7 linked regions of the Callithrix jacchus genome follow. The protein of the gene in region 4 purifies or fractionates together with the protein of the main gene of each other region. This does not show direct contact. Links are inferred from orthologs where the notes say so. Each region holds a gene or a part of one and is shown on either strand. Other genes may lie near its edges.

What was found.
Region 1: the proteins of RC3H1 (region 4) and SERBP1 purify together in Homo sapiens (affinity purification with mass spectrometry, with the first as the bait; 3 studies listed by BioGRID). This does not show direct contact. The link is inferred for Callithrix jacchus from reciprocal best matches to the Homo sapiens genes RC3H1 and SERBP1.
Region 2: the proteins of RC3H1 (region 4) and CNOT10 purify together in Homo sapiens (affinity purification with mass spectrometry, with the first as the bait; 3 studies listed by BioGRID). This does not show direct contact. The link is inferred for Callithrix jacchus from reciprocal best matches to the Homo sapiens genes RC3H1 and CNOT10.
Region 3: the proteins of RC3H1 (region 4) and CNOT1 purify together in Homo sapiens (affinity purification with mass spectrometry; 5 studies listed by BioGRID, with this or other methods). This does not show direct contact. The link is inferred for Callithrix jacchus from reciprocal best matches to the Homo sapiens genes RC3H1 and CNOT1.
Region 5: the proteins of RC3H1 (region 4) and YBX3 purify together in Homo sapiens (affinity purification with mass spectrometry, with the first as the bait; 3 studies listed by BioGRID). This does not show direct contact. The link is inferred for Callithrix jacchus from reciprocal best matches to the Homo sapiens genes RC3H1 and YBX3.
Region 6: the proteins of RC3H1 (region 4) and FAU purify together in Homo sapiens (affinity purification with mass spectrometry; 3 studies listed by BioGRID, with this or other methods). This does not show direct contact. The link is inferred for Callithrix jacchus from reciprocal best matches to the Homo sapiens genes RC3H1 and FAU.
Region 7: the proteins of RC3H1 (region 4) and CNOT9 purify together in Homo sapiens (affinity purification with mass spectrometry, with the first as the bait; 4 studies listed by BioGRID). This does not show direct contact. The link is inferred for Callithrix jacchus from reciprocal best matches to the Homo sapiens genes RC3H1 and CNOT9.

Annotation. Positions count from the first base shown.
Region 1 is NC_133508.1:104,663,735-104,668,178, forward strand, and holds the start of SERBP1 (SERPINE1 mRNA-binding protein 1), read right to left. Parts: upstream 2,959-4,444; 5' UTR 2,857-2,958; coding exon 2,544-2,856; intron 1-2,543. UniProt on the Homo sapiens protein: Ribosome-binding protein that promotes ribosome hibernation, a process during which ribosomes are stabilized in an inactive state and preserved from proteasomal degradation.
Region 2 is NC_133518.1:70,915,236-70,919,241, forward strand, and holds part of CNOT10 (CCR4-NOT transcription complex subunit 10), read left to right. Parts: intron 1-588; coding exon 589-710; intron 711-1,966; coding exon 1,967-2,143; intron 2,144-4,006. UniProt on the Homo sapiens protein: Component of the CCR4-NOT complex which is one of the major cellular mRNA deadenylases and is linked to various cellular processes including bulk mRNA degradation, miRNA-mediated repression, translational repression during translational initiation and general transcription regulation.
Region 3 is NC_133521.1:16,470,398-16,474,987, forward strand, and holds the start of CNOT1 (CCR4-NOT transcription complex subunit 1), read right to left. Parts: upstream 3,121-4,590; 5' UTR 3,022-3,120; intron 1-3,021.
Region 4 is NC_133519.1:29,069,273-29,073,982, forward strand, and holds the start of RC3H1 (roquin-1), read left to right. Parts: upstream 1-1,487; 5' UTR 1,488-1,542; coding exon 1,543-1,773; intron 1,774-4,710. UniProt on the Homo sapiens protein: Post-transcriptional repressor of mRNAs containing a conserved stem loop motif, called constitutive decay element (CDE), which is often located in the 3'-UTR, as in HMGXB3, ICOS, IER3, NFKBID, NFKBIZ, PPP1R10, TNF, TNFRSF4 and in many more mRNAs.
Region 5 is NC_133510.1:12,410,608-12,414,613, forward strand, and holds the end of YBX3 (Y-box-binding protein 3), read left to right. Parts: intron 1-819; coding exon 820-994; intron 995-1,564; coding exon 1,565-1,630; 3' UTR 1,631-1,665; intron 1,666-3,347; 3' UTR 3,348-3,901; downstream 3,902-4,006. UniProt on the Homo sapiens protein: Binds to the GM-CSF promoter. Seems to act as a repressor. Also binds to full-length mRNA and to short RNA sequences containing the consensus site 5'-UCCAUCA-3'. May have a role in translation repression.
Region 6 is NC_133511.1:122,201,045-122,204,763, forward strand, and holds FAU (ubiquitin-like FUBI-ribosomal protein eS30 fusion protein), read right to left. Parts: upstream 2,187-3,719; 5' UTR 2,136-2,186; intron 2,002-2,135; 5' UTR 1,986-2,001; intron 1,883-1,985; 5' UTR 1,861-1,882; coding exon 1,786-1,860; intron 1,692-1,785; coding exon 1,547-1,691; intron 1,091-1,546; coding exon 1,035-1,090; intron 867-1,034; coding exon 741-866; 3' UTR 685-740; downstream 1-684. Other genes in the region: MRPL49 (large ribosomal subunit protein mL49), read left to right, coding at 2,398-2,475.
Region 7 is NC_133507.1:140,321,602-140,325,607, forward strand, and holds part of CNOT9 (CCR4-NOT transcription complex subunit 9), read left to right. Parts: intron 1-729; coding exon 730-909; intron 910-2,680; coding exon 2,681-2,796; intron 2,797-4,006. UniProt on the Homo sapiens protein: Component of the CCR4-NOT complex which is one of the major cellular mRNA deadenylases and is linked to various cellular processes including bulk mRNA degradation, miRNA-mediated repression, translational repression during translational initiation and general transcription regulation.

The sequences.
Region 1 (4,444 bases), on a different chromosome or scaffold from region 4:
ACACTCAATTGTCCAATTGGCTTCCCTGTAACTGAAGCCAAACAGTAACTATCAATCTCTTCAATAGAATTTTGAAGTTCATTCCCGGCAAACCCTCAAAAAGACTACAAATGTTAGACCTTACACCAAGGTATTTAAATAAATGTCAGTAAAAAAAAGTGTACTGGGTGGAGCTACGGAGCCAGTCCTTGCAATAATATCCAAGCCAAACACACCCAAGTGAACAATAGTTGGTGTCCCCACCCAATATCCAATATTAGGCTTACAGAATCTTAAAAAACACTTATTAAGCTCACCTAATGAAAAAGATTGATACTGAAAACTGCATGCTTATTTTGATATACTTATCTATAACTTGCAAGCTCACTAACTGCACTAGATTCGAAGCATTCATTCTTTTTAAGAAAATGTCTGTTCCACTCTCAATGACATTCTGCTGTCAATTCTTAAGTTCTTCAAATGGACAAGAGTAGCTACAAATTTAATTCATAAAACATTATATATCTGCCTATACTTTGTTAAGCATTGTGTCACAATGTGTTACCAAAATCACAGAACACAAACAGGTTAACCTTCCTACTCTATGCAGGGATTTTCCTTAGATTTATTCCCAGTGAACCAAACGGTAGAATCTCAAAACGAGTATTTTCCATTCATCATGTTTCCTATATTTATATGCTTGTATTTTATGCAACTTATTAAGAATGCTCTGAAATAATGACCTAAGAAAAATGCTGATTGCTACCTGCAAGAGGCTGGGGGGAAAGAATAAGTAAATGAATTTTAAAAAGAAAGAAAGAAAGAAAAATGCTGATTGCTAATATGAAATAGTTTTCCCATGGATTTACTGAATGGTGAACTTTAAGTCCTGGTTCTAACTTCATGAAACCATTCCCCACATTTGCAACTTATAAAAACATTACTTTTCAGGTAAGAGCTTATTTCATAGACGGGATTCATGATCAAAACTCAGGCATTTAAACCATGCTTCATGCTTTGAGCATTCAAAATGAGTGAACACATCTAGCTGGTACATTTTAGATTTATTCGTCAGACTCAACTTTTTCATGTACTTTCTTGAGGTGAGCTTAAGCATAGTTTCAGCGTTTCTTAACACGGGAACTAAATGATTTATTTAATTGTGCTAGAGTCCCATAAAGCTTAACTAGCTAAAGAGATACTTGGCCTAAGTGACGTACATGCCTTCTAATACTCCCGTTTTTCCCCAACCTACAATTTTACCACAAGAATTAATTATTTTCCTTTACGCACCACCTAGGACCGAGGTTCATTACAAGCCTCACAAAAGTCCTCAAAAAAAAAAAAAAAAAAAAATTCCTAAAACAAATCCTACCACGAGTAAACTTTTGATTTTGAAAATTAGTTGAATGTTATAGAATTCAACTAAAGCTAATGAGAAACAACTTTCTGAAGCACGTGGTAAGGGGTAATTTCCACTTTCAACATAAAAATACAACTTTAAAGATTCAGAGCTGAAGTCCGACACCTGCTTGCTACTAACCACGCATGTTCTTATCCCCAAACCGTTTGCTTTTTCATCCATAACGAACCGGTAATGAGTGCAAAAATCAAGACAATCCTATGAAACTCAGTGCCCTGGAAACAACTATTAACCGCCAGTGAAACCGATCATGCTTCACACACATGTGGGGTGGAAGAAAAAACTGCAGACTCTAAAGAGCTTTGCTGCGATTAATGCTGTGACAGCCTCTGCACTGACTTCACCCACGAGACCCAGACCACACCAAGTTAAAGATTCAGTCTGGGGAGTCGAGAGAGAGGATCGCGACTCGAGGACGTTCCTCGGGATGTCCTGCAATCACCGGTCTTCATTCGTAATTCCCGCTTCTGCTTAATCGAGTGTGGCAAACTCCTCCATTTCCCGACAGCTCAACTCACCCCAGCAAGTTATGAGAAGGCTCCTAACAGTTGAGAGGGAGAGGGGAAACAATAAAACATATGCGGCACCCCAACCAGCAGCTTATTCCACACGTCTGATGGCCTGGAACGACCCCCGCTTTTCAGTGGGGGTACTCCGCTCCGTCGTGGGACAAGATGGCAGGACGGGAGCCCGAAACATCATCATCTCAAAGGTGCAGCTCTGGCAGTAAGCAGCGGTGGACCCAAGCTCCTCCATAACTACGGGAAGCTTCAGTGAGCGGCCGGCTTCCCCGCACCTCAGTCCACGCGCTCGCCCGCCAAGGAATCCGGCGGGAAGGCAACAGCCTCCCAGTACGTCGAGCGCGCTCGAGGAGCAGCTCATCTGCAACCACGCTCCTCTGCTCACAACCTGAGGCGGGAAGGAGGTGGCTCCGGGAACCTAGCCGGCGGTGGCTTGAACTTGGGGCTACCACGCTCCCGGCACCTTTGCAGGACCTGGCTTTGGTCGCGTGAAGAAACGTGAGGAAATCGGCTACAAAGTCTCCCGGGGACCCTCGGAGCTCCAGAAACAAGTGGCAGCCGGCAGCCCCCTAGCTCCTTCCCTCCATCTCAATCTCCCCCACATTCTGCCCCTGCTTTACCTTCTTTCTTAAGCGCCACGGGCGGCTGCGTCTCCTCTTTCTTGTCAACCACGCCAACGCTGGGGGGCAGCGGGTTCTTGCGGTCTTTCTGGGACTCCTTGCGCAGCTGCTTGCCTGCCGCGTTGGAGTTGGTCTGCGCCGCGGCCTGAGCTGCGCTCTTGGCCCCAGGGCCCCCAACGCCGCCCCCGCCGGCTTCTTTTTTCTTGTTCTCCGCTGCCTTTAACACCTCGAAAGGGTCCGATTCGTCGTCAAATAACTGGTCGAATCGGTTGGTGACCACGCAGCCGAAGCCTTCCTGTAAGTGCCCTGGCATGATGGTGGCTCGGCGGCGCGTTCCTCCACGGATTGCAGCGGGCCGCGCCGAGCCAAGAGCGCCTGCTTCAGCTCTTCCCACAAGATGGCCGGGCCGAGAGAGGGGGGCCGTCTTCTCTTCCGGCGCCAGGCACACATCCGGGAGCGGCCTGCGCCGCAAGGCACTGTGGGTTATGTAGGCCAGAGTCGTTTCTCCTGAGGCGACTCCCCGCGTAGAGACTACAATTCCCAGGATGCACCTCGCGACAACTCTTCGCGCGCGCCTGAGAGGCGGGACCTCACGAAGGGAGTGAAGCGTACGAGCTGAAGGAGGGGAAGCGTGGTGGTGGTGGTGGGCGGAGTCCTGCCACCTGCTCTACCCACCCTCAAACTCTCTAGGTCTTCAGCTACCCTGAAACCAGAAAAACGTGACGGTGTAATTGACTCGCGAAAGTGCTCTCTGGTTTCACTCACGCCCCCTCGGGCCCAGGGCTAACTTTCCCCACCGCTCCGGGAGGGTCAAGGTGACTCCCAGACCTTACAGCTGGAGACCCACAAACTTCCGGGGGAGGGGGTGTTGCTGAGGTGCCGCGCCGGCCGCGGGTAGGCTGCAGCCCGCCTGTGATAAGTCCGAGGTGCTCAGTTGCCAGAGTCCCCCTCCGTCAGCCTCCACGGTGAATCGAGGCTCTTCTGTCTAATGTGAGGTGGAATACGTTTCTTCTAGTGGGGACGTGAACTAGGGTAGCAGAACTAAGCAAAAACACAAGTGGAGCTATCACATGGGAGTGTGGCGCGCCTTTCCCGGGCTTCTCGCCGTGTGGCGGTCGGATAACTCCTGACCGTGCAGCGCTAGACGCGGGGGAATCCTCCAGAAAGACTGGAGAAACGCTTGCTACAGTCATTCCATTTAATTGTCCGTTCGTGTCCTGCAAGCCGGGGCTTCGGTGGCTGTAGTGTTGGTCACATGGGCTCAATAAATACCATGTTAGAGCATTTCGAGTGCGTGTGTGCTAGGAGTTGCGATGAGGAGAGGGAACTACTGAAATCAATGATGACTAAAAGCGTTGATACTAATTAAGTTAATTAAGAGAATACAACTTCATTGCATTTTTAAGCACATTTCGTAGCGCCGTCTTTAAATATATCATGATTTTAAATCGCTTTCCGTTAATATAAAATAGCAAATGCATCTCTTGTCAGTAGCTTTGAATAACCTTGAAGTCAACATCTCGTTAGGCAAATAGTTTGCCTCTTCTCACAAATGCTGAAACCATTTCACAGATGAAATTATTTACCAAATTCACACCTCTGTAAATGCTAGTGACAGGCATTAGCCCAGTCTTCTACCTCCGCTATGAGACTGGACATGAACTCTTTAATTCAGACTCTGCCCTGATAGAAACCAATCCAATTTTTATATTTCCGGTATGATTTAAACATTGTTGCATGTCAGGGTATGTAACATGGCAGAATGTAATCATCAATTTCTGAGCAGATTTTAAATCAATTCCTTAGCAGGGAAAATAGAAGACAAGAGTCATATTACATACATGTGGCAGCAAGCCTGGTTGTCTTCTCAATCCTCCCCAACTCAGTCACTTATTTCCCTG
Region 2 (4,006 bases), on a different chromosome or scaffold from region 4:
GGGGGTATAGAATAATCTAAGTAAATTATTCTAAATAAATTATTGGGTCGTAATTGTATTGGATTTTGCTCTTAGAATTTTCTCCAATCTGATGTAAACAAAATGTAGTGGCCGGACACGGTGGCTCACGCCTGTAATCCCAGAACTTTGGGAGGCCAAGATGGGTGGATCACGAGGTCAGGAGTTCGAGACCATCCTAGCTAACACAGTGAAAACCCGTCTCTACTAAAAATACAAAAATTAGCCGGATGTGGCGTGCACCTGTAATTTCATTACTCCGGAGGCTGGGGCAGGAAAATCGCTTGAACCCGGGAGGCAGAGGTAGCAAGCCGAGATCGCACCACTGCTCTCCAGCCCCGGCAACAGAGTTGAGACTGGTTCAAAAAAAAAAGTAGCACATATCCCAGATTTTCAGCCTTGTGTACTTTGTCCACTAATACCAAACATGTTTCCATTGTCACCAAAAAAATCTTCACTGATTTTAACAACTCTCTTAAATTTAGGGTAATTGTGAGAGGCATTTCCTCATTTTTTATACCATATCTTAAAATTCTCATAAGTTTATTGGAAATTATTTGTATTTTGTAGACTTCTGAACAAGAAACTAAAGGCCTTCCCAGCAAAAAAGGAATTGTACAGTCTATTGTTGGTCAAGGCTATCATCGTAAAATAGTTTTGGCATCACAGTCTATACAGAATACTGTTTATAAGTAAGTATTTTCCAAAGAAAAAGTATATATATTTAATACTGGTTTACACGATGTTACTTAAAGTATGCTTAGGATTTATCATTGCATAGGAGGAACCACTTTCTAACTAGGTTTTATTGCTGTTTCAACAAACAGACCCTCATGTTAGAGGTCCATAGTGAATGTTATCTTAACATGTGATTTTGGTTTATTACATTCATGGATGCTGCAATTATTATTATTGATGGCCTAGGAAACCCTAGTCTATTCAGTGCCATTATTAAGAATATCCAGAAGAGGGCATCTTGGTGTCTCCTTTTTATGTAGTTTTGGTTATCATTTGTACTTTTCATTTAGGTATTTTTTTTTGTAGTCTCTAGCACTGAAAATACATGAAAGTGAATTCTTAGTATTAGGAGAAAACAAGTGTATTAAAACATAAAGCAACCAACCAAAGCAGTATAGAAGCTGTCACATGTACAGTCTTCATTTGACAATTTGAAATTGCCATTATTTGTAAAGTGTCAGACTTTGCAAAGAATTAGCTGACTTAATTTGTTTTTGTCAAAGAAGAAAATCTCTACTATTTAAAAATTATTCAAAAGTTTAAAAAACATCTGATGTCCAATTTAGTCTTAATTTAGATTAACTATAATGCAGGAATATTTTTAAAGACTATTATGATAAAGCATTTCAAAATTTTAAAGCAATTTCAACATGGTTACTACTTTTCAAAATTTTATTTTTCCCTAATATAGATTCTGTTTGAATATATCAAACCAATAGAAAGTTGTATAAAATGTCATTGAAATTATCAGACCAAAGGTAGGGTTGCTGTTTAAGTGTATAGAGAGGCATTTTTGAAAACAAGGATCAACCAAAGTAAGCCTCAAACATGAAAATCTATTTTCTTCCCTCCAATCCCATTCTTAATAAACCTGTCATGGCCCTCATTACAGTTGCCCTTGAGCGCTTGTCTGCAGTTTCTCTAGTATGTTAACATTAACAATGTAGATAGATATCAAATTGTCTCTCCCCCTTGGTCTCATTCATAGAGACACAGTGTACGTAATTTATATACTTGCAACCCATACTGTTTATGACCTATACTCAGGATTTAGATTCTATAGTGTTCTTTTATAACAGCTTATATTAAAATTTCTACCTATCAAAAGGCAAAACTTTCATTTATAATTCGTTGGTTTTATTCCTTATAATAAAAAGTCTTATTTAAAAATTTTTTATTTACTTAGCTAATTTGGTTTTGTTCTTTTAAGTGATGGGCAGTCTTCGGCCATTCCTGTAGCCAGTATGGAGTTTGCAGCCATATGTCTCAGAAATGCCTTGTTGCTGCTGCCTGAGGAACAGCAAGATCCAAAGCAAGAAAATGGGTCTAAAAATAGTAATCAATTAGGTGGGAACACAGAGAGCAGCGAAAGCAGTGAAACTTGCAGGTATTCTAATCCTTGTGACCTCCCTTGGCAAAATCCTTTCAGGACTTCTTTAGTAAACCCTTTTGGTTTTTAAGTAAATTCCTAATATCTTCAGCCTAAATTTCTGAAATTATCTGTTTTGTATAACAGGAAGGGAAAGTATTTATATTTCTAGTCTTTCTGGAAGAGAGAAATAAGGTGAAAGCTAAGTTAGGAGAGATCCCTGAAAAAGAAAAGTAGAAAGTAGCAGCTTTGGTGTGGTGGCTCACTCCTGTAATCCCAGCACTTTGGGAGGCTAAGATAGGCAGATCCCTTGAGGTCATGAGTTTGAGACCAGCCTGGCCAACATAGTGAAATCCCGTCTCTAGTAAAAATACAAAAAATTGGCTAGGTGTAGTGGTGGGCACCTGTAATCCCAGCTATTCTGTAGGCTGAGGCAAGAGAATCAGTTGAACCCAGGAGGTTGCAGTGAACCAAGATTGTGCCACTGCACCCCAGCCTTGGCAACAGAGTGAGACTTTGTCTCAAAAAAAAAAAAAAAAAGGAAAAGAAAAAAGGAGGAAACTAGCAGCTTTTCATTGACAGGAGGGATGTTTGTAAGAAGTCCTGTTGTCGGCCAGGCACGGTGGCTCATGCCTGTAATCTCAGCACTTTGGGAGGCTGAGGCAGATGGATCACCTGAGGTCAGGAGTTCAAGACCAGCCAGGCCAACATGGCAAAACTCTGTCTTTTAAAAAAAAAAAAAATTGGCCAGGTATAGTGACTCATGCCTGTAATCTCAGAACTTTGGGAGGCTGAGGCAGGCAGATTACTTGAGGTCCGGAGTTTGAGACCATCCTAATAACATGGAGTAACCTCATCTCTACTAAAATTATAAAATTAGCCTGGTGTGGTGCCACATGTCTGCAATCCAGCTACTCAGGAGGCTAAGGCAGGAGAATCGCTTGAACTGGGGAGGTGGAGGTTGCAGTGAGTTGAGGTAGCGCCATTGCATTTCAGCCTGGGCAACAAGAGTGAACCTCTGTCTCAAAAAATAATAAATTTTGGCCAGGCATGGTGGCTCATGCCTGTAATCTCAACACTTGGGGAGTCTGAGACAGTTGGATCACTTGAGGTCAGGAGTTTAAGACTAGCCTGGCCAACCTGGTGAAACCCTATCTCTATTAAAAATACAAAAATTAGCCAGGCATGGTGGCGGGCACCTATAATCCCAACTACTGGGAAGGCTGAGGCAAGAGAATCTCTTGAACCTGGGAGGTGGAGGTTGCAGTGAGCCAAGTTCATTCCAGTGCACTACAAAATGAGATTACTTTTCAAAAAAACAAAAAAATTATTAAAGTAAGTGCTTAACTCCTAAAGCTTCTCATTTGTTACTATCCTCTGCTTGTCACCTTAATATACTCTAATTACCAACCTCCAGAATATTTTTGTATAGTTCTAGTTTCTAGTATAAATTCAAAATTGTGCAAATCTAGGCAGGGAGCTGGAGGCCAAGAGTTCAAGTTTAGCCTGGGCAGCATAGCAAGACCCCATCTCTTCAAAAAAATAAAGATAAATAAAAATTATGTGACTCTTTAGAAATTGGGAGAACTTATCTTGTAAGGATAAAACAAATACCATTATATATAGGAAATTCTTTTTCTTTTTTGTTTGTTTGTTGAGACAGTCTCCCTCCATCGCCCAGGCTGGAGTGCAGTGGCACAATCTCAGCTCACTGCCACCTCCACCTCCCAGGCTCAAGCACTTCTGCCTCAACCTCCTAAGTACCTGGAATTACTGGCGAAGCACCACTACACCCAGCTAATTTTTGCCTTTTTAGTAGAGACAGGGATTTGCCATGTTGTTGAGACTGGTCTTGAACTCCTGGCCTCAAGTGATCTGCCC
Region 3 (4,590 bases), on a different chromosome or scaffold from region 4:
GGATTATAGGCGTGAGCCACAGCTCCCGGTTTTCTTTTTTTTTTTCCCCAAGAAAGGGTTTCACCATGTTGGTCAGGCTAGTCTTGAACTCCTGACCTCAGGTGATAAGCCTGCCTCGGCCTCCCAAAGTGCTGGGATTATAGGCGTGAGCCACAGCTCCCGGTTTTCTTTTTTTTTTTCCCCCAAGAAAAGGTTTCACCATGTTGGTCAGGCTAGTCCTGAACTCCTGACCTCAGGTGATAAGCCTGCCTCGACCTCCCAAAGTGCTGAGATTATAGGTGTGAGCCATCACGTCCAGCCTTTTTTTTTTTGGCGGGGGGGGGGGGGGACGACGGAGTCTCACTCTTACACCCAGACTGGAGTACAGTGGTGCAATCTCAGCTGGCCACAACCTCCACCTCTGGGGTTGAAGCAATTCTCCTGCCTCAACCTCCTGGTGCCTGCCACCACACCCAGGTAATTTTTGTATTTTTTTTTTTCCTTTTTTCTTTTTTTGAGACAGAGTTTTGCTCGTTACCCAGGCTGGAGTGCAATGGCACGATCTCAGCTCACTGCAACCTCTGTCTCCTGGGTTCAAGCAATTCTCCTGCCTCAGCCTCCCGAGTAACTGGGACTACAGGCATGCGCCACCATGCCCAGCTAATTTTTGTATTTTTAGTGGAGACGGGGTTTCACCATGTTGACCAGGATGGTCTTGATCTTTTTTTTTTTTTTTTTTTTTTTTTTTTTGTTAGACAGAATTTCACTGTTGTTACCCAGACTGGAGTGCAACGGCACGATCTTGGCTCACCGCAACCTCCACCTTCTGGGTTCAAACAATTCTCCTGCCTCAGCCTCCCTAGTAGCTGGGACTACAGGTGTGCACCACCATGCCCAGCTAATTTTTGTATTTTTAGTAGAGACAGGGTTTCACCTCGTTGACCAAGATGGTCTCGATCTCTTGACCTCGTGATCCACCCGTCTTGGCCTCCCAAAGTGCTGGGATTATAGGCGTGAGCCACTGCGCCTGGCCAGTTTTTGTATTTTTAGTAGAGATGAAGTTTCACCATGTTGGCCAGGCTGGTCTCGACCTCCTGACCTCAGGTGATCCACCCACCTCATCCTCCCAAAGTGCTGGGATTACAGGCATGAGCCACAGCACCCAATCAATTCTAGACTTATTTCCACTAAGACTCAGAAGACCCATATTTGTTGAAAAGGGACCAACTCTCCAAACAAGTTTTATCAACATGTCATCATTTCAGTCAAAGCACAGCTAGCCACCTAAAACCATGTATCATCAATGTGTTTTCTCCTTAGACAAGGTAACAATTCGCAGTGTCCTAAAACGTAATTATTTAAACTGTTACAACCTACCTTCTTAATAGCTAAAATCCTCTGTTGGGTAGGAATACAAACCTGGACCACAGACCACTTAACTATTAAATCCAAGTACCTCTAGAAAAATAAAATTTGAGGCCGGGCGCGGTGGCTCACGCCTATAATCCCAGCACTTTGGGAGGCCAAGACGGGTGGATCACGAGGTCAAGAGATCAAGACTATCCTGGTCAACAAGGTGAAACCCTGTCTCTACTAAAAATACAAAAATTAGCTGGGCATGGTGGTGCACGCCTGTAGTCCCAGCTACTCGAGAGGCTGCGGCAGGAGAATTGCTCGAACCCAGAAGGTGGAGGTTGCGGTGAGCCAAGATCGTGCCATTGCACTCCAGTCTGGGTAACAACAGCGAAACTCCGTCTCGAAAAAAAGAAAAAGAAAATTTGTTCTTAATCTGTTTGATCTTCTTCCTAATATTTTACTTGCCCTCCCTCAGTTTCTTAATCCATGTATTCCCTATTCCTATCAAAGGGACTGTCATAAGGAAAACGCTCAGCATTTTTTTCAAAAAGTTTACTTGTATTTACTCAATTATACACTTAAAAAAAAAATCCAAGTAGTCACAGGCGATCAAATTGTCGAGGAACAGGCAGGGAGATTAACTATTGTTACTCAGTTTTCAGGAAGAAAACTGCCTTTAATTTATTACAGTCCTAAGAAACGTGACATTTAACTTTAGGGGAAAAGTTTGTCATAAAGTTTATTTTAAATATAACATTTTCAAATGCACAGATATCAAGCATTCTTTTTTCATCTACAAAGTTTACTCCTTGCGGAGTTAGTATCTGTGAGCCCTGTTGGGTGAATTCTGCAGAGGGTGGTACTGAAAAAAGTATTATTTGTCTTTGGCCTTAAGTACCTCTACAAGACCTGCAGAGGATCTCTCGTCAGCCTTCAGGCCTATGAGTGCTCAGCTCACTAGCGGGACACTTGTCTTGGGTGAACAGGACCGCCACTATTGCAGACACCGGACCGAGCAGGTGGGGGCCGACTTCAAAGAAAGTGTGAGCGCCCGGGCGCGCTAGTGGAACAAAACCTGTGGCAAGTAATAAGGAAGTGCTCGCTCCCGCCCGCCCTTCCCATCCGGGGACACCCGAAACATGGGGGGCTTTGACAATGTGCAGGGGGCGTAAGAGGGGGAAGAGTGGCAGCTCCGAGCACACTGAGAAAAACTGGAAACGTGCAAAAACTCCAAACACCGTTCCCCCCATCCGAAGCGCTAGGCCTCGGGAGCCGATGCCCACTGCACCCATCCGGGTGCAGAGTGAGAAAGAGTAGTTGAGGAGGTCGTGGGGGGGTTTCAGGAGGATGCAACCCGCGCGAAGCCAGGCCCAGCGACACCAACTGCCGCCACTGCCGCCCCCTGAGCCTCCAGGCCCGGGACAGAGGCCACCCCGGGTCTCATCCCGCGCTCTACCCTCCGCTTCCTAGAGCCTTCTCGCTGGCCTCATCTTCAGAGCGCGAAGCCTCCGAGAGCCGTCTCCCGCCTCGCCCCACTTGCCCGTCCCGGCTGCCTCTCACTCCCCGGAGCTCCGGGAAACGCTTCCAGTGGCCCCAGGTGCACCCCTGTTCCTCCTCCCACTGGCACTGGCGTCCCCAAGCTAACACCGCCACCGTACCCCAGGCCCTGACGCCAGCCCGCCTCACCTCAGACGGCTCCAGCAGCGCTGAACACAGGAAACTCCTGGGTCCCCGACTCCAGCTCTCCTCAACCCCCTCTTCGGTTAACTCCGCTTGTTTCTCGACAAAATGGCGCCGGAGGTCGCGCGCTCACGTCGCGGCCTTTCCCCTCCCCGTTCCCATTTCATCATTCGCTGCCCGCCCGAGGAGGGATGGTCCCAGCGCCAGCCAATGGCCGCGCCCCGCCTGTGGCTCCCGCCCAATCACCGACAGCTACCCGCGGATTTAAACCAATCACACTCTATCACTTGCAGAAGTCGAGGAAGAAACCAGGCTTTTGCTAGCAACTACCAATCCAGACTTCTACTTCGTGGACTGTAGCCAATTGCCGCTCACCAGGCCCAGGGGACCTGAGTCGGAGCCCTCGCGCCTGCGCTCGAGGCGAGGGCCAATAGAGAGACGCTGATAACTTCGATTTGGGGCTTCATGGACTTCCTACCTGCCCTGGAGGGCTGCGACCAGTGGCGCTTGGCATTGCCTTTGAGGAACAATAAATTATGGAAAGGACCCATAGCTCCTCGCCACTTTGTGCAGGAACTACTTTGAGTTACAGTGAAACAGCCTTCCTCCACTTTCCTTTCTCTTTCGAAATGTCACAGTCCAGTAGACTTCGGGGAGTACCAACCGAAACATTCCGCCCCCCTAGTGTCCCTTTGGCGGGGAACACCAGCCAGAAAGCAAGTCAGATAGTGACTAGAGTTGGGGCGCCTTGCATCCTGGGATATGTAGTCGCGCTTCCCTACCCTGTTCTCATCGGAGAAGTACCGCGTCTTCTTCCGTCACTGGCTGCGCCCTAGAAGGAGCAGTACATGCTGGGGGATGTAGTCACACAGGTGGCCACCTGGTCCTCGCTTGCTTCGCTTTCGTCAAGGGAATTTTCTCTTTTAATTCTGCCTATTGAAGGAAACACAAGTGTTCTTCCTGGCTTAAGTCCTAGGAGCCGTCTAAGAAAGGATACCCATGTCCTTTGCTCTCAAGTGGAAAAGCATAGAGACATATTTTGCTATGGTTTGTTTGTTAACTATGATAATTGGTAAGATTTTATGCTCACCTGTACCCAAAAGAGAAAGGACTGGAAGGAAGTGTTGACTGGTTAACTCTATTACCTTTTGAAATTAAAACCTATCCCCTGCTCACCCCTGCTCTCAGGCTAGGCTTAGCAGGTGATCGCCTGGCCATCTGTCTCATATTACCTCTTGTGCCAAAAAAAATACTGAAAAAAAAAAAATATATACTGAAAAAAAAAAAAAAATGATGGTAAAAAACATGAAATTTGCCGGGCGCAGTGACTCACGCCTGTAATCCCAGCACTTTGGGAGGCCGAGGCGGGTGGTTCACAAGGTCAAGAGATCGAGACCATCCTGGTCAACATGGTGAAACCCCGTCTCTACTAAAAATACAAAAAATTAGCTGGGCATGATGGTGCCTGCCTGTAATTCCAGCTACTCAGGAGGCTGAGGCAGGAGAATTCCCTGAACCCAGGAGGCGGAGGTTGCAGTGAGCCGAGATTGCACCATTGCACTCCATCCAGCCTGG
Region 4 (4,710 bases):
CCACCATGCCCAGCTAATTTTTTGTATTTTTAGTAGAGACGGGGTTTCACTATGTTGACCAGGATGGTCTCGATCTCTTGACCTCGTAATCCACCCGCCTCGGCCTCCCAAAGTGCTGGTATTACAGGCTTGAGCCACCACACCCAGCGGTACTTTATTCTTCTGGGCATCAATTCTCATTTTTAAAAACTACAGTTATAGCAAGTATAGTAGATGTTGTTTAAGATGTGTGCTAGCAATTTCAGGTTGGGTTTTATATTTAAAGAAAATTCCTGGTAGACACCAGGTGATAAGTTTTGTAATTTGGCTTTTATCTCCCACCAAAAGTAGAAGGTAGACAGTGAAATTTGATCATACATAGGTTCTGGTTAATCATAATTATTCCATCATTCTTAAATTTAGGAGTTAAAAAAATTTTGAGGTAAATACGTTATATAGTTTTAAAACATGCTGTAGCAAATAAGTATAGGCCACACAAAGAGCCTAAAAGAGACATCTACCAGTATATAAAGCTCAGAAGAATATCTGAAACTTAAAAATAAACAGTCTCTTTTTATCTCATTACTCCCACCAAATTTGACGATAAAGTATTTAAGGTACTTTTTATTTTAGGCTATTTACAAAGAAAAACTCTTTATTGATGTGGAACATACATAAAAGTGCACATAAGTGAAGAGCTTGATACATTTTCACAACTAATGAAACCCATGTAAATGGTACCCAGGTCAAGAAACACAGTATTATTAGTTTCCTTAAAAAGAGTTAGTTAGTTAGTTAGTTAGTTATTAAGACAGAGTCTCACTCAGTCAGCCAAGCTGGAGTGTAGTGGCATGATCTTGGCCTTCTGCAACCTCTGCTTCCCAGTCTCAAGTGATTCTCATGCCTCACCCTCCTGATTAGCTGGGATTACAGGTGCCTGCCACCACACCCAGCTAATATTTGTAATTTTAGTGGAGATGGGGTTTCACCATGTTTGGCCAGGCTGGTTTCAACTCCTGACCTCAAGGGCCACCTGCCTTGGCCTTCCAAATTCTGGGATTACAGACGTGAGCCACTGTACCTAACCAAGTTTAAGTTTTAGATATATTTATTTTTTAAAAATCAGAGACTTAAATAAACTTAAGAGACTTGGGTCCTGGATCTAACTTTATTACTAATTTAAAGTGTCCCCTCAGGCAGGGGACTACTTCCCATCTCTAAAATGAGGGAATAAACTAGATGTTTTATCATTGCTCTAAATCTGTGAAAGTGTAAAAAGATGGATTACCGTGGTACAAATGTGGTATAAAAAGTTGTGGAATAAGACTGGACTTGTGGTTCTTTTTCAGCAATTTAATTGGAAAGAAAGACATGCAATTTTTTTCCTTTTTTTTTTTTCTGTTTTCCAGGTTATATTTCACACTATGTGCTGACTGTATCTACAGAAGATATTTAAAAAAAAAAAAAAAAGATAAACTTTTTTTCAAAGATTTTGATTCCAGTGGAATCTTTGCTTTAGATTTGTGTGTGTGTTTGTGTTCGTGAATTGTAACTCCAGAAGCAATGCCTGTACAAGCTCCACAATGGACGGATTTCCTCTCCTGCCCAATTTGCACTCAGACTTTCGACGAAACAATTCGAAAGCCCATCAGTTTGGGTTGTGGCCATACTGTCTGCAAGATGTGCCTGAATAAACTCCACCGCAAGGCTTGCCCATTTGACCAGACCACTATCAATACAGACATTGAGCTTCTCCCTGTGAACTCAGCATTGCTGCAGCTCGTGGGTGCTCAGGTAAGATGGGTGACTTAATACTTTCAAATTTCTGTGTGTGTGTGTGTGTGTGTGTGTTGTATGTTTTTCTCCTGAGAGAAACCTGTTGAATTAAAATTGGGTAACATTGCCTTCTACTTAAATAGGTATAAATCTGTTTGGTACTGCAAACCCTTTATTTCAGCATGTTGGATTTATTGTGGTAGGTAGCCCAGTGCTTTTCAGTCATAGCACAGTAACATCCGTTTAATCTTGTCAGATATTCAATAAACCTAGCTATGCAGATCACTAGAGAAACCTAAGGCCAGTTGTGGTGGCTCACGCCTGTAATCCCAGTACTTTGGGAGGCCGAGGTGGGTGGATCATTGGAGGTCAGGAGTTTGAGATCATCCTGGCCAATGTGGTGAAATCCTGTCTTTACTACAAATACAAAAAAGTTAGCCGGGTGTGGTGGTGTACCCCTGTGATCCCAACTATTCGGGAGGCTGAGGCACAAGAATCGCTTGAACCCAGGAGGCAGAGGTTGCAGTAAGCCAAGATCACACCACTGCATGCCAGCCTGGGTGACAGAGTAAGACCCTGTCTCAAAAAAAAAAAACCCTAAGATGTAAGTAATAAGAACCTCTTTTAACATTGAGAAAAATATTGTTCATAAAACCACTACACTTTACTCACTATGGAAGGTGCAGCTGCTTCAGGCAGTTTTACTCAGTAGACGATAACTGAAATGAAAGATGAAAAGGTGACAACTATAGCACAACGTTTGGGAACCATTAGAGCATACTTAATGTATTATAGACCTAAAAATGGTTAAGATGGTACATTTTGTGTTATGTATATATTCTCACAATTAAAAATTATCTTTTTCTTTCATCTAAAAGGAAAAAATAAATTAGACTATAAAATAGATCATCACCAATTTGTCCTAGGAATGTAAGGTTGATTTAACATCTGCAAATCAATTAGTAATTCACTACATCAATAAACATTTCAAAATTGCACACATATGATCATCTCAGTAGACACAAAAAAAGCATTTGGCAAAATCCAGTACCTTTTCATGATAAAAGCACTGAAACAACTAGGAAAGGAACTTCTTCAACCCGACAAAGGACATGGATGAAAAACCCACCACTAACATACTGAATGGTGAAAAACTAGATTCTTTTTCTTAAAGATCAGGAACAAGTCAAGGAACTCCACTCTTAACTATTTCTGTTCAACATCATACAGGACCTTCTAGCCAGGGCAATTAGTCAAGTAAATTAAACGAATGACATTCAGATAAGGAGGAAAAAAGTAAAAACTATCTCATTCACAGATGACATGATCTTATATATAGAAAATGTTAAGAAATCTACAAATGAAAAGCTAATAGAAACAAAAAACTAGTTAGACAAAGTTACAGGATATAAGATGAGTATATAAATATTAGTTGTCTGAAGAAGCAAAAGTCTCAAAAGTGTAAAAATGTGTTTACAATGTTTCATAATCTTTATTTTTTTCTTCCTCTGTTACACAGGCTGGAGTGGCACAATCTTGGCTCACTGCAACCTCTGCTTCTCCAGTTCAAGTGATTCTCGTGCCTCAGCTTCCCAAGTAGCTGGGATTACAGGTGTGCACCACCATGCCCAACTAAGTTTTGTCTTTTTAGTAGAGATGGGGTTTCGCCATGTTGGCCAGGCTGGTCTCCAGCTCCTGGCCTCAAGTGATCCACCCGCCTGAACCTCCCAGAAGTCTAGGAATACAGGCATGAGCCACCGTACCCAGCTAGTGTTGTATACTTTCATCCACAATATGTTAATAATAGTTTTCTTACACATATAAGAAAGACTGTCTGGCATATAGTAGGCCCTTAATAAAGATTTGTTAAATAAATAATATATGTTACATTTCAATACACTAGCAGTGGACACTCTGAAAACAAAAATCGATTTCATCTACAAGAGCATCAAAAAAATAAAATAAAATATTAAGAATATATTTAACAAAAGAAATGTAAAACTAGACCAGGTATAGGGGCTCACGCCTGTAATCTCAGCATTTTGGGAGGCCAAGGCTAGCAGATCTCTTGAGGCCAGGACTTCTAAGACCAGCCTGGCCAACATGGTGAAACCCCATCTCTACAAAAAAATATAAAAATTATCCAGGCATGAAGGTGCACACCTATAATCCCAGCTACTCAGGTGGCTGAGACAGGAGACTGGATTGAACCTGGGAGGTTGAGGTTGCAGTGAGCTAAGATCATGCCATTGCATTCCAACCTGGGTGACAGAGCATGACTGTCAAAAAAAGTAAAACTATATTTTGAAGACTACAAATCATTGTTAAAAGAAACTTAAGACTTGACTAAACATTTATTCATATTAGCTCAAAATGTATCAAAGGCTAAATCTAAGAACTAAAACTATGAAACTCTTAGAAAACATAGACATAAGACTTCATGACCATGGAATAGGCAGTGAGTTTTTTTTTTTTTAGATATATGACAAAAAGCACAAGAAACAAAAGAAAAAGGTAAGTTGAACTTCATCAAAACTAAAAACTGTGTTTCAAAGATGTTCATATTAGCTGGGTGCAGTGGCTAATTGTAATCCCAGCACTGTGGGAGGCCAAGCTGAGTGGATTGTTTAAGACCAGCCTAAGCAGCATGGCAAAACCCCATCTCTACAGAAAATACAAAAAAAAAAAAAAAAATGTCCTGGGTATGGTGGCACATGCTCGTAGTCCCACCTATCTGGGAGGCTGAGGTGGAAGGATCACCTGAGCCCAGGAGGTCAGGGCACAGTGAGCTGTGATTGCAGCCCTATGCTCTAGTTCGGGCAACAGAATGAGACCCTATCTCAAAAACAACAGCAACAACAAAAAACAAAGATACCAACAAGAAAGCGAAAAGAACAATCCACAGAATGTATGAAAACAATTGTAAAATCATATTTCTGATAAAGATGTATAGAA
Region 5 (4,006 bases), on a different chromosome or scaffold from region 4:
CCTGGCTAAGTGATCTTGAAAAGTCATATGTGACCTTTTTTGACCTATAAAAGCAGCACTTTTATATAGCTCAACCATATACTTCATTATCTAAACGTCTTGGTTTTCTCATTATAAATCTCTTCCACAGAATTGCCATTGAAATTAAATATTTAATTTGAAAACCAACGAGCACAAGCTCTGGCACATAATAATGTTTCTTCTCATGTTTAATTCCCTTAGTCTCTACTAAATTTTGTTCAAGGAAGGCAGATACCGGATCACTTTTCTTCTCGTTTTTAATTTTCCTATTAGTGCTTATCAAAGGGCCTGATAGGAATGGAGTATGTGTTGGATATATATGTGTTCCCTCCAAATATGTATTCAAATGAAAGGAGAAAATGATGGGAAAATAAGATTTTTTTCATTAAACCTCTGTTCCGTTTGCTGCATTGGCCTGTGTATAATCTAGCAATAAGTACTGATCACTTGATCAGTACTTGGATGGAGTCTCAGTCTGTCGCCCGGGCTAGAGTGCAGTGCTGCAATCTTGGCTTGCTGAAGCCTCTGCCTTATGGATTTGAGCGATTCTCATGCCTCAGCCTCCCACATAGCTGAATTACAGGCACGTGCCACCATGCCTGCTATGTTGGCCAGGCTGGTCTCAGACTCCTGACCTCAAGTGATCTGACTGCCTTGGCCTCTGAAAGTCCTGGGATTGCAGGTGTGAGCCACCATGCCCAGTCCTGATCACTTGACTCTTTAATTTTTAAAATTAAATAAACTCTTATTTTCTGGAGAAGCCCTGGCCTGTTGGCACTTGTTCTGTGTTCTCTCCAGCAGGGGACCTCCTCGCCCACGACCTGCCCCAGCAGTTGGAGAGGCTGAAGATAAAGAGAATCAGCAAGCCTCCAGTGGTCCGAACCAGCCGTCTGTTCGCCGTGGATACCGGCGTCCCTACAATTACCGGCGTCGCCCACGTCCTCCTAATGCTCCTTCACAAGATGGCAAAGAGGTAAATCCAGCCAGTCAGGGCCGATGTTGCCCGATCGTTTTTAATCATGCCAAATTGTAGCATTCTAAGAGTGGCTTTATCACGTGATAACCTGACACTTAACAAATATGAAAACATTTTGCTCAGTATCCTTATATATAGGGTATGCCTTGCACATAACACAAACCAAATATTTGATTCCAGTTAAAATTTTTTGAAAGAATGACCCATACTGATGGGAATTTAGAGCATTAGGGCTCCTCAAATAACAGAGGCATTTATAGAGGAAGCTGCCTCTAAGCGGGAGCTGAAAGCACTTAACACAGACTTGATGGAGAGCAGTGGTGTTTAGTTGCTGTTTGTAAGCTGTTCTTCTACGGTACCAATTTGTTTTGTTTTGTGTGGGGTTTTGGTTTCGTTTTGTTTTGGCAGAGATGCCAGGGACTGAATGTGGGACTCATTTGTGACTCATACAGAAGAGTAGTTAAATTGCATAGTGATTTTTCTTCACAGGCAGGAAAATTTAAGAGTCTTGAACTTCCCACTGTCACCTGACTTATTTCTGATTTATGGCTTTGTTTTGCGTTTTAGACCAAGGCAGGTGAGGCACCAACTGAGAACCCTGCTCCAGCCACCGAGCAGAGCGGTGCTGAGTAACACCAGGCTCCCCAGGCACCTTCACCATCCACAGGGTAAGAGCTGGGGCAGCCCAGTCTTGAGTTGGTATTTTCTTTTCAATATCACTGGCTTCTCACCAAGAGTACAAATTAGTCTAAAGTAGTTCTGCAGTTCATCTGTGGCAACCCCTTGTCTCTGTTGGGATTCTGTGGAAAAAGTGATTTGGTGGTTAAATATTTCTGGGATTGACCTCATTTTGATAAGCTTTGGTGAGGGTATAAACATTCAGACAGAGGTGATGATAACGCAGCTTCCTTTTCTACACAGGCAGTTTGTAACTTCTAGTGCCACTTAGGAAAACAGATGCAAAAAGTCCCTAACAAAGGCCTGGTTTTAGTAATCAGAAACCAGTTCAGAATCTTTAGTAATCAGAAAGAGTAGAGTAAACTAAAGGGGTTTTCCTTTTCCTTTTTCTTTGATGATCCACTTTATTTGGAAGCAGTGCAGCATAATGTGTAAGAGCCAAGGTTTTTCTATCCAGTACAGGCCCTGCTGCACCCCTCATTTGCTTGTTGATCCAGAGTAGTTTATCCTGTTTTATCCTACTGATCTCGAACTTCTGTCCTGTGGAAAAAGTGATTTGGTCACTAGCAGATGTTTTGATCACTGCTTGCCTTGGCCTCCCAAAGTCCTGGGGTTACAGGTGTGGGCCACCACGCCCAGTGGTAAAAATGAGGATAATAATTATACTTACTAGGGTTGTTGCAAAGATTATTAAGTGAAATAATGGTTAGGAGATGTTTACACTAGGGTAGGGTAAAGAATAACCTCTTGAAAAAGGATAGCTTGTTATTTTGTCATTTTCTACTTTTTTCTGTCTTTTAAAGATACATTTATATACAGTAGAAATATAGCTAGAAAAATCAACTCAACTATAAATTCTGGGTTTTTTTTTTAATGTATAACCTTTTAAACTGAGAAGTTAATTCTTTTGATACTTCTTGCTTTTGCTCTTTCTATGAGCTTTTAGTTAAGAGAGAGCTTATAAACTCAGTATCAATGCTATTTTTCAAAAATTGTTAAAATTTCATAAATGAAGTTTTGGGATTATTATAAGTTCTTGTGTCTTAATGCCATCTGCTTTTATATCCAGCGATTTCGGATTTTAATCAGCCTTTTATTAGGTAGATATTTGCTATGAGGGCAATATTCTGTTTTATCTTGGGTAGCATGGACAGTTTGTCACATAAATAAGTTCCCTATTCAGACTTGGAATCAACTGATTTAGAGTAACATATTAATCATATAAAAATGGCCGTAACCTTTTATGGAGTAATGTTACTTCCAGGTATTATTTCTAAGGAAATAGTTTAAATATTGGGAAAAAATATTTCTACAATTTACAGTCTGACATTTGGGAAGTGGCTAACTGCGATATATTCATATTAGGAGCTAGGGATCAGCCACTAAAATGATTTTGAGTATTACTCATTAGTAATGGTAATTTTCTTTTATACACTTTTATAAATTTTTTCTATTATGTACTGACTTTTCTGGTTTATAAAAATACTTTATTAAAAAGTAAGAGTCCATTTAAATAACAGATAGCTTACAGATCTATACTAGATGTGATTATTTAGAGCATTTGATGTACTCTTTTTCTAATTATATGAAAAGCAGATAATTTTTGCCTTTTTATTGTTTAACTCTTGGTTACTTTGTCACTCTTTCTAAGTTTGATTTTAATTTTCTCCAGGTGACCTAAAGAATTAATGACGATTCAGAAATAAAGGAAAAAGCAGGTCACAACCTTACAACACCAAAGAAACATCTAAGCAATAAAGTGGAAGACTAACCAAGATTTGGACATTGCAATGTTTACTGTTATTCTTTAAGAAACAACTGCAAAAGGAAAATGTCAGCAGATTTTTCCAGCAAGCTGAGAACCTGGGAATTGCTGCACAGAAGACAAGAGAGCAACCTCTCCCGTTTCAGCAACCACTAGCTTTATATTTTTTTTCCTGGTTTTTACTGTTTTGGTAATATAAATTGAAACAAGAAATATTAATCCCACATGGGGAGAACCCCAACCAAAGAAATATATAGGAAATGCTTTTTTTTCGTTTTGTTCATTTTGGATGCTGGTGCTAAACCTCCAAGTGTCATGATTTAAAAAGAAATTTTATGTCCTCCTTATTTATTTCTAGGATGAGGGAAGGATAATATTTTTGCTTTCTTATGTGACTCTCTTTGAAAATGTGCAGTAAGAAATTCCTCAAAAATAAAATTTTTACCCTTCAAAGGACAAAATGTTTAACGGGAGTATGTTTTTGCCGACCTTAGCGTGCGTTTGTCTTTCTCCTTCATTTCACTTGCTTGACTTAAGATTAATAGTAAATTCAAAGCCAACTGTAA
Region 6 (3,719 bases), on a different chromosome or scaffold from region 4:
AAAAGAAGGTCCAAACTCAGGCAGTCAAAAGTCCACAGCCCAAGGGCTTTACCCTGTGGGATGCTATTTTCTAAGATCTGGCAGGTCCAGAAACTTTGGCTAAATGAGTGAGTAGGGTACGGAAGTGCTGGGAGACTCAGGTGCCAGAAGGGAAGCTTGAATCAGCCCCAGAGGTACTCCACTTTTGGGAACACGGTATCCGATCACAGATGTGACTAGGTTAGCATGGCCGGCCAGCCTGATTTCCCATCACAGATGTGATTAGGTTAGCATGGCCAGCCAGATTCCTGCCCTGGACTCTAAGGCCACAGCTGGTCCCAAGTTCAGGGAATGGCCAGATTCATCTTCTATACAAACCTCATCCCCCACCCCTCTCTTCCATTGCTGCCTCCATAACAAACCTCACAATTATTCCTGCTACCTTCTCTGTTTAGAAGATGAAAAAGAGTAACTTGGGAGGACTGATCAAGTTACTTAGGATGGGGAATAACCCCAATTCTGCATGTGAAGCGCCAGGATCTGTGGCTATTGCTTCTTTACAGGAAACTTTTCTGTGAAGGAATGCTAGTTTACCATTTCGTCCCCCCATTATCAATGGCTTCTGCCTTACTGTTCTAGGGGAAACACCACCAATCCAAGAAGCCACACCTCTCCCTGATGCTTTGCAAATAAAGATGAAACAACTTGACGACTGAACTATGTGGCTTTTTTTATTAGAGAAAGTCAGAATTACAATGGACTTAAGAGTTGGCATTTGGGCCCTTCTTCTTGCCAAAGGTGGGCACAACGTTGACAAAGCGCCGGTTGTACTGCATCCGCCTCTTAGCCCGGCCTGTCTTCTTCTTCTTCTTCTCCTGTTTGGCCACCTGGAAAAGGGAGGGCCCTGGTTCCTGTATACCTTGCCTAGCATCCCTTCCTCAGGCTCATCTCCAGGGAGGAGAAGGCAAACCAGGTAAGAGCCCAGGGTCTTGGATTAGCTCTGACAGGAAAAGACAAAGTTCAAACAACACCACTGCTAACACTCTCTCACTCACCTTAGGAGTCTGACCTCTCACCTTCCCAGCACGGGCCAGGGAACCATGGACTTTACCTGTAGTGGGAAAGGAAGGCAGGTTAAGAGCAAGAAGGTGCCACCCAGCAAAACCCCTCTTTCCTCAATTCAAGCTTTAAAAAGAAGCTGGGCCCAATAGGTAATGAGAACAAAGTTGCAGATATTTGATCTTGAAATCTGAAGTTTCATTTAAGGATTTTCCAGCTCCTAACTTTATAGAGCACTTTGGGGGCTCTGGGCTGACCTAATTTTAGTGAGGAAGCTTATAGCCAGACAAGGATCCTATATGTGATTGAAATGCAACTTCACTCTGACTCAGTCTCTCATGGATGTCTGTGTTCAATTTGAGGCACGTAAACAAGAAGAATCACTGTGAACTGAGGATACAGGGGAGAACTCTGTATTACCATAGGTTTGACGACACTCAGCTACCGGGACCATGCCCCACACCCATAGACGCGTACAGGTAGTACAAAAAATATTCCTCTCACTCACCTCCGAGCATTCGGCCTGCTACTTCCAGCGTGGTCAGGGCCTCCACCCCGCACTGGCCCAGGGTGGCCTCATCCTCCAGGGGCGTGCCTGCCAGGAGTACGACTTGATCTTCCGGGGCAATGCCCTCCAGTGAGGCTACATGAGCCTACAGGGAAAGATAAAGCTCCTAAGAGTCCTCTCGGTCCCCGAAGGTGAAGAGCACAAGAAAATGGAATCCAGGGCGCACCAAACAGCCCTACCTTAATCTGGGCGACCGTCTCCTGGCCGGTCACCTCAAGGGTGTGTAGGTCCTGGGCGCGGACGAAGAGCTGCATGTTGGCGACTGAGTAAAGACGGCTTGTAAGAGAAGCGAGGAAACGCTCTGGGATAAAGCAGGTTTGGGAATGGAAAGCGGCCCAGAAACGATCGCGACGGGATGGAGGGGGTCGCGGAGACTCACGTGGGGAAGGCCAGGCCTGCCAAGAAGTTCGGATAGGAACTAGAGCAGAACCACAGAGCAGGTCCCGTTCTTCAGTTTACCCCGCTCCCTCTGACCCGGCAGCCAACTTGCTACTAAGCCCTTCGGATCCAGCCAAGGCCCGAGTCTTACCTGAACCGCGGTGTCAGCTGCCGCTACCGTGAAGATGGAGTCGAGAAAGAGGAAGGAGCGAGGGCGCGCACGTACAGATCACCGGTTGCGCGTCGTGTCACTACTGAGCGACCGCGAGGGGCCCTGGTATTTGTACCGCCCAAGGCGGCACTAGCTCCGCCCCTTTACACTGGCGCAGGCGTTTTTCCGTCCCAGGCAGCGCGCGCAGGAGGGGGCGGGACCAGACGGTTGCGCGCGCCGACGGCTAGCGTAGCGGGTCAAGATGGCAGCTACCAAGTTTTGGGCTTTGCTGCAGGGATGGAGAACCGGTGTCCAGCGGAGCTGCGGGCTACGGCTGTTGGTGAGAGCGCTGAGCCTGGAGCTGAGGGCATCGCGTGTCTGAGGCTCACTGTTAATCATTGTAACTCTGAAAACTAAGGCATTCCTACTTGGGGCCTTAGTTTTGCAGTTTTACGATCTGGAGAACTTGTCTCGAGTGTAGATATAGGAACGAGAGGGAAAGTGGCAGAGACTGGAGTGCTCTTTGGGACAGTGTGTGGGTTAGATTCTGGCTGCAGGACATCCCAGGTTAGTCAGGACTGAGAGGAGTTGCACATCGACTCCAGTAGCTACCCAGTTTTTCGAAAGCGAAATCAGAGCAGGCGCTGGCACCAGATCATTGGCGACGCTTTTGGGAGCGCAGAGCTGCTGATATTCAGCTACTTCATCCTACTTCCCTGCTCTTGTAACCCCGAGCTTGTCAGAACTTAGGGGTATCTGTCCAAGAAGGATCTTTATGCTGGAGGATGGGAAGGCAGACTCCGGGCTGTGACGTTAAGTAGAGTTTACAATTATTTGTTAGTGTTGGCCTTTCCTGGCTGTAAAAAAGGTGTAATAAAATACCTAATCAGGCACGTTATTAGAATCAAGTGAAGGCCAGTGCCCGTAAAGCACTTAACACAGTGCCTGGCAATGTCTATATGAGGCCAAAACTTTTCAGATAAGGGGCGGGGTCCTAGCATATGAGTGTGTGTGGGGAATTATGATTGCCTTAAGAATTAAGGCAATCATTAAATTAAACACCACTATATCCAATCACAGATGTGATTATGTTAGCAAGGCCAGCCAGGCAATCATGGAGGTACAAACAAGGCCACCCTGCCAATGTAATAATAATATTTATTTCTAAAACCGAGGCAGAAAGTTAAGCCTTAAGTTTCTGTACGCTTTTCAGAAGCGTACACATACTCTTGAATCCCACAGAAATCCTAAGAGAGGCAGACCGTTCAGAGTACCTGAGCTTCCTTTCCATTCCATCTGTACCCTTCACCATGGAAAACTAAAGACCGGTGCTATCTTATGTCAACCTAAATAACAGACTCTAAAAGAAAATGATATTTATTTGGGAATGGGTGTAGACTATATGCTTATCAGGGAGGTAAAAGAAGACAAAGGTTTTTTTAAAGGAAACATGGGCCGGGCATGGTGGCTCTCACACCTGTAATCCCAGGACTTTGGGAGGCCGAGGTGCGCAGATCACCTGAGGTCAGAAGCTCGAGACCAGTCTGGCCAACATGGCAAAACCCCATTTCTAATAAAAATACA
Region 7 (4,006 bases), on a different chromosome or scaffold from region 4:
GGGTTTTTTTTTTTTTGGTGGGGCGGGGAGATGCTGCTTTCTTGCTCTGTTCCCCAGGCTGGAGTGCAGTGTCACCATATCGGTTCACTGCAACCTCCACCTCCCAGGTTCAAGCAATTCTACTGCCTCAGCCTCCCAAATAGCTGGGATAACAGGCGCCCGTAACCACACCTAGCTAATTTTTGCATTTTTAGTAGAGATGGGGTTTCACCATGTTAGCCAGGCTGCTCTTGAACTTCTTGAGTTCAAGTGATCTGCCCCTCCTCAGCCTCCCAAAGTGCTGGGATTACAGGCATGAGCCACCATGCCTGGCCAATTTTTAATAGAGATGGGGTTTTACCATGTTGGCCAGGCTGGTCTCAAACTTCTGACTTCAAGTGATCCATCTGCCTGCCCTGGCCTCCCACATCGCTGGAATTATAGGCTTGAGCCACTGCACCCAGCCAGTTTTCTGCTTTTAAAACAGTGCAACAGTAAACATCTTGGTTTGTCTTTAGTACAGCTCAATTATACCTAGAGGATAAATTCCTAAACATGAAATTCAAAGGGCATGTGTGCATTTTAGATTTTTTTCATCAATAACCGCCAGAGAGATTAACATCAGATGTATGTATTTAGAAAAGCTCCCGTGGTATTCATGAAATATATATTTCCTCTAAGCTCTGGTGCAGAATAAGACTTGGTTTGACTCTAATAAACTCACATTTACTTTCTTGTCTTCATCTGAAGCCTGTGCCTACTGCATTGGCACAAGTGGATAGAGAAAAGATCTATCAGTGGATCAATGAGCTGTCCAGTCCTGAGACAAGGGAAAATGCTTTGCTGGAGCTAAGTAAGAAGCGAGAATCTGTTCCTGACCTTGCACCCATGCTGTGGCATTCATTTGGTACTATTGCAGCACTTTTACAGGTGGGTTCGTGTCCATGATTGGCAGTTAAGCTTTTTTCATCACACTTGTATATTTCTTTACCTTTGCCCAAGTGATTTAAAGACTTCACAAGGATGATTCTTTAAGAGTCAGCAATCAAGATCAGGAGATCGAGACCATCCTGGCCAACATGGTAAAACCCCATCTCTACTAAAAATACAAAAATCAGCTGGGCGTGTTGGCATGTGCCTGTAATCCCAGTTACTCAGGAGGCTGAGACATGAGAATCGCTTGAACCAGGGAGTCAAGAGGTTGCAGTGAGCTGAGATCGTGCCACCACACTCCAGCCTGGAACAGAGCAAGACTCCATCTCAAAAAAAAAAAAAAAAAAAACAGCATTCCTAAGAACCTCTTTTAGAAAGGTCTAAGGTACTTGTTAAAACGCAGATTCTTGAGTCCTTACCCAAGAGATTCAATTTAGTCAGTCTGGGGTGGGCCCTGTAATCTGTATTTTAATAAGCACTTTAACTGCCCCCAGGTGATTCTGATGCAGGTGATCTAAGAACTATACTTTGACAAACACAGCTTTAGGAGTATTGCAAGATAAATCTACATGATGGGGGAAGGAAGATGGAAAGTAAGATATAAGGACCACGTACAGTATATTCCAGGGAAAGGAAATGTTAAAGATAACAGCTGTAGTATTAAAGATGGGTACACTTGTGCATTAAAGAATAAGTGAAGTTTGGTTGGAATCGTCATTGGTGGCTAATTAATTGATATTATATAATACCAAAATACCTAGATAGTTGTGTGATTATCCATTAAAGTATTGCCTTCCTAATAATTATATTAACCTTTCAACTTTTAAGTAAATTCACATTCCATCTCTACTTCATTTAGCCAAGAAACTGGTCTTTGTTATGGGAATGTGTTTCTATGTTAATGTTTTACAAATAATGTAAATAGAATATTATTGCCAGATGCAGTGGTTCATGCCCATAATCCCAACACTTTGGCAGACTGAGGCAGGAGGATTGCCTGAGCCCAGGAGTTCGAGACCAGCCTGGGCAACATGGTGAAACACCATCTCTACAAAAAATACAAAAATTAGCCAGGCCTGGTGGTGACCCTTGTAATCCCAGCTACTTTGGAGGCTGAAATGGGAGGATCAATTGAGCTCAGGAGGTGGAAGCTGCAGTGAGCCATGATCATGCCGTTATATTCGGTCTAGATGACAGAGTCAGACCCTGTCTCAAAAAAGGGAAAGTAAATGGAATTGTATTAAGTCATTAAGTTTTTACAGAGAGTACATCTATTCATTGCTGTTTATACATATCCGCACTCATTGATTCATGTCCGTACTATAGTTACTACCTAACCAAATTCAAACTTCATTGAGTCACTGTGGTTGACTTAACACTTTCTGGCCTGCAGTCTCATCACTGTAACTTAAAGCAGGATGCTAGCAAAAGGAGGGACTATAAAAATTTGAGTATCCCTCAAGTGATAGCCTGAATAGCTGGAGAATATAAGAGGAAGTGTAGGTGACTGCATTTGCCTCCATAGCATAGCCATAGAAATCTTCCCAGAGACAAATGTAGAAATGTCTTAGCTAGTTAGTCTCAGCCAAGTAAGTTTGTGATGAAAGGATATGAGCATTATTTCTGCTCCCTCTTTGATCATTCAGTTCTTTCAAGACACAGAATTAAGAGGTATTTGCTTTACCTTTTTTTTTTTTTTTGCTTTATTACCATGGGAATTAATTTTTAGTTATTCCTTATTCATCTGATGCTGATTTCCATTTTTTAGGAAATTGTAAATATTTATCCTTCTATCAACCCACCCACCTTGACAGCACACCAATCTAACAGAGTTTGCAATGCTCTGGCGTTACTGCAATGTGTAGCATCACATCCAGAAACCAGGTAAATGCTTTGAGTGAGTCACTTAGAGGAGGCATATATTGAAAATGGTCCTAAACTTTCTCTGAATAATAAAAGGAAGGGCATGCAGTAGACCGTGCGTGGGCACGTGTGTGTGTATCTTCCAGATTCTTATTTACTTTTACCCAATGAATTTTAAAGAAACACTATTCACATAACAGGAAAGATACCAGGCATACAGCTACTTCTCACTCCCTAACCATTATTGGCACTATGTCATCTGCAAGGCATAGTACATGGCATACAAGAGGAGTCTAGTAAACACTTTTCCCCAACTGAACCGGATTTCACTTCAGAATCCTTCTTAACATAGTGTTCTGGGTGGCCTCTATAATAGACGGGATTTATCGTGTGAGTTAAAATATTTTTGCCACCTGTTGTATCTGAAAAATTAAGAAAAGGGAGATCCTGTTGAGGAATCTACTTTGTGGCTCTTATGGCCCCAAAGGCACTTAATAGTATTCTTACTAAAACCTTTCCTCTTTGTCAAGTTTCTTTATGAAATATGAATGCCAACTTGGCACTGACCTTACACAGCTTTAGAGAAGTTATTCAGAAAATTAAGCACTTAACAAAAACACAAGGGTACTTTGAGTGTTAAAAATCTTGGGTGTTGGCTCTTCTACAAGGTATGACTATAAATAATATAATAGACTGATTTCCATATTAGTTGCCTGACTAAATTGTTTTCAGAATGGTTTGTATATTCTTCTTTTATTGTTAGGTAAAACAGTAAAAGAAATTGTTTTACCTAACAATAAAAGAAGAATGTGCTTATTAAAGTATAGCAGGTAAGCCTGATAATGGCTGCTTGGTTTTGTTGTCTTGCTTTGTAAGGTTTATTCAACTGCACCTGTAAATACTATTATTCAGTCATATAATCTAAGACTATCTTAATAGCATTTTGTGGTCTATTTTTTTAAATCCACCACTGGACAGTTTAAGTTAATCAGTTTTTAAGGTACTTTCTGCTGATTGCAGGGAAATCATGGGTTTTTTAACCACTGTGACCTGGACTAGGGTTTTCAGCTTTGGTACCATTAACATTTGGGGCTGGATGAATCTTTGTGGTGGAAAGTAGAGGGCAGGAGGGGACTGTCCTATGCATTGTAGGATGTTTAATTGCATCTCTGGCCTCTGCCCACTGGATGCCAATAGTGTTCCATAATCCTGAGTTGTGATAATCGTGACA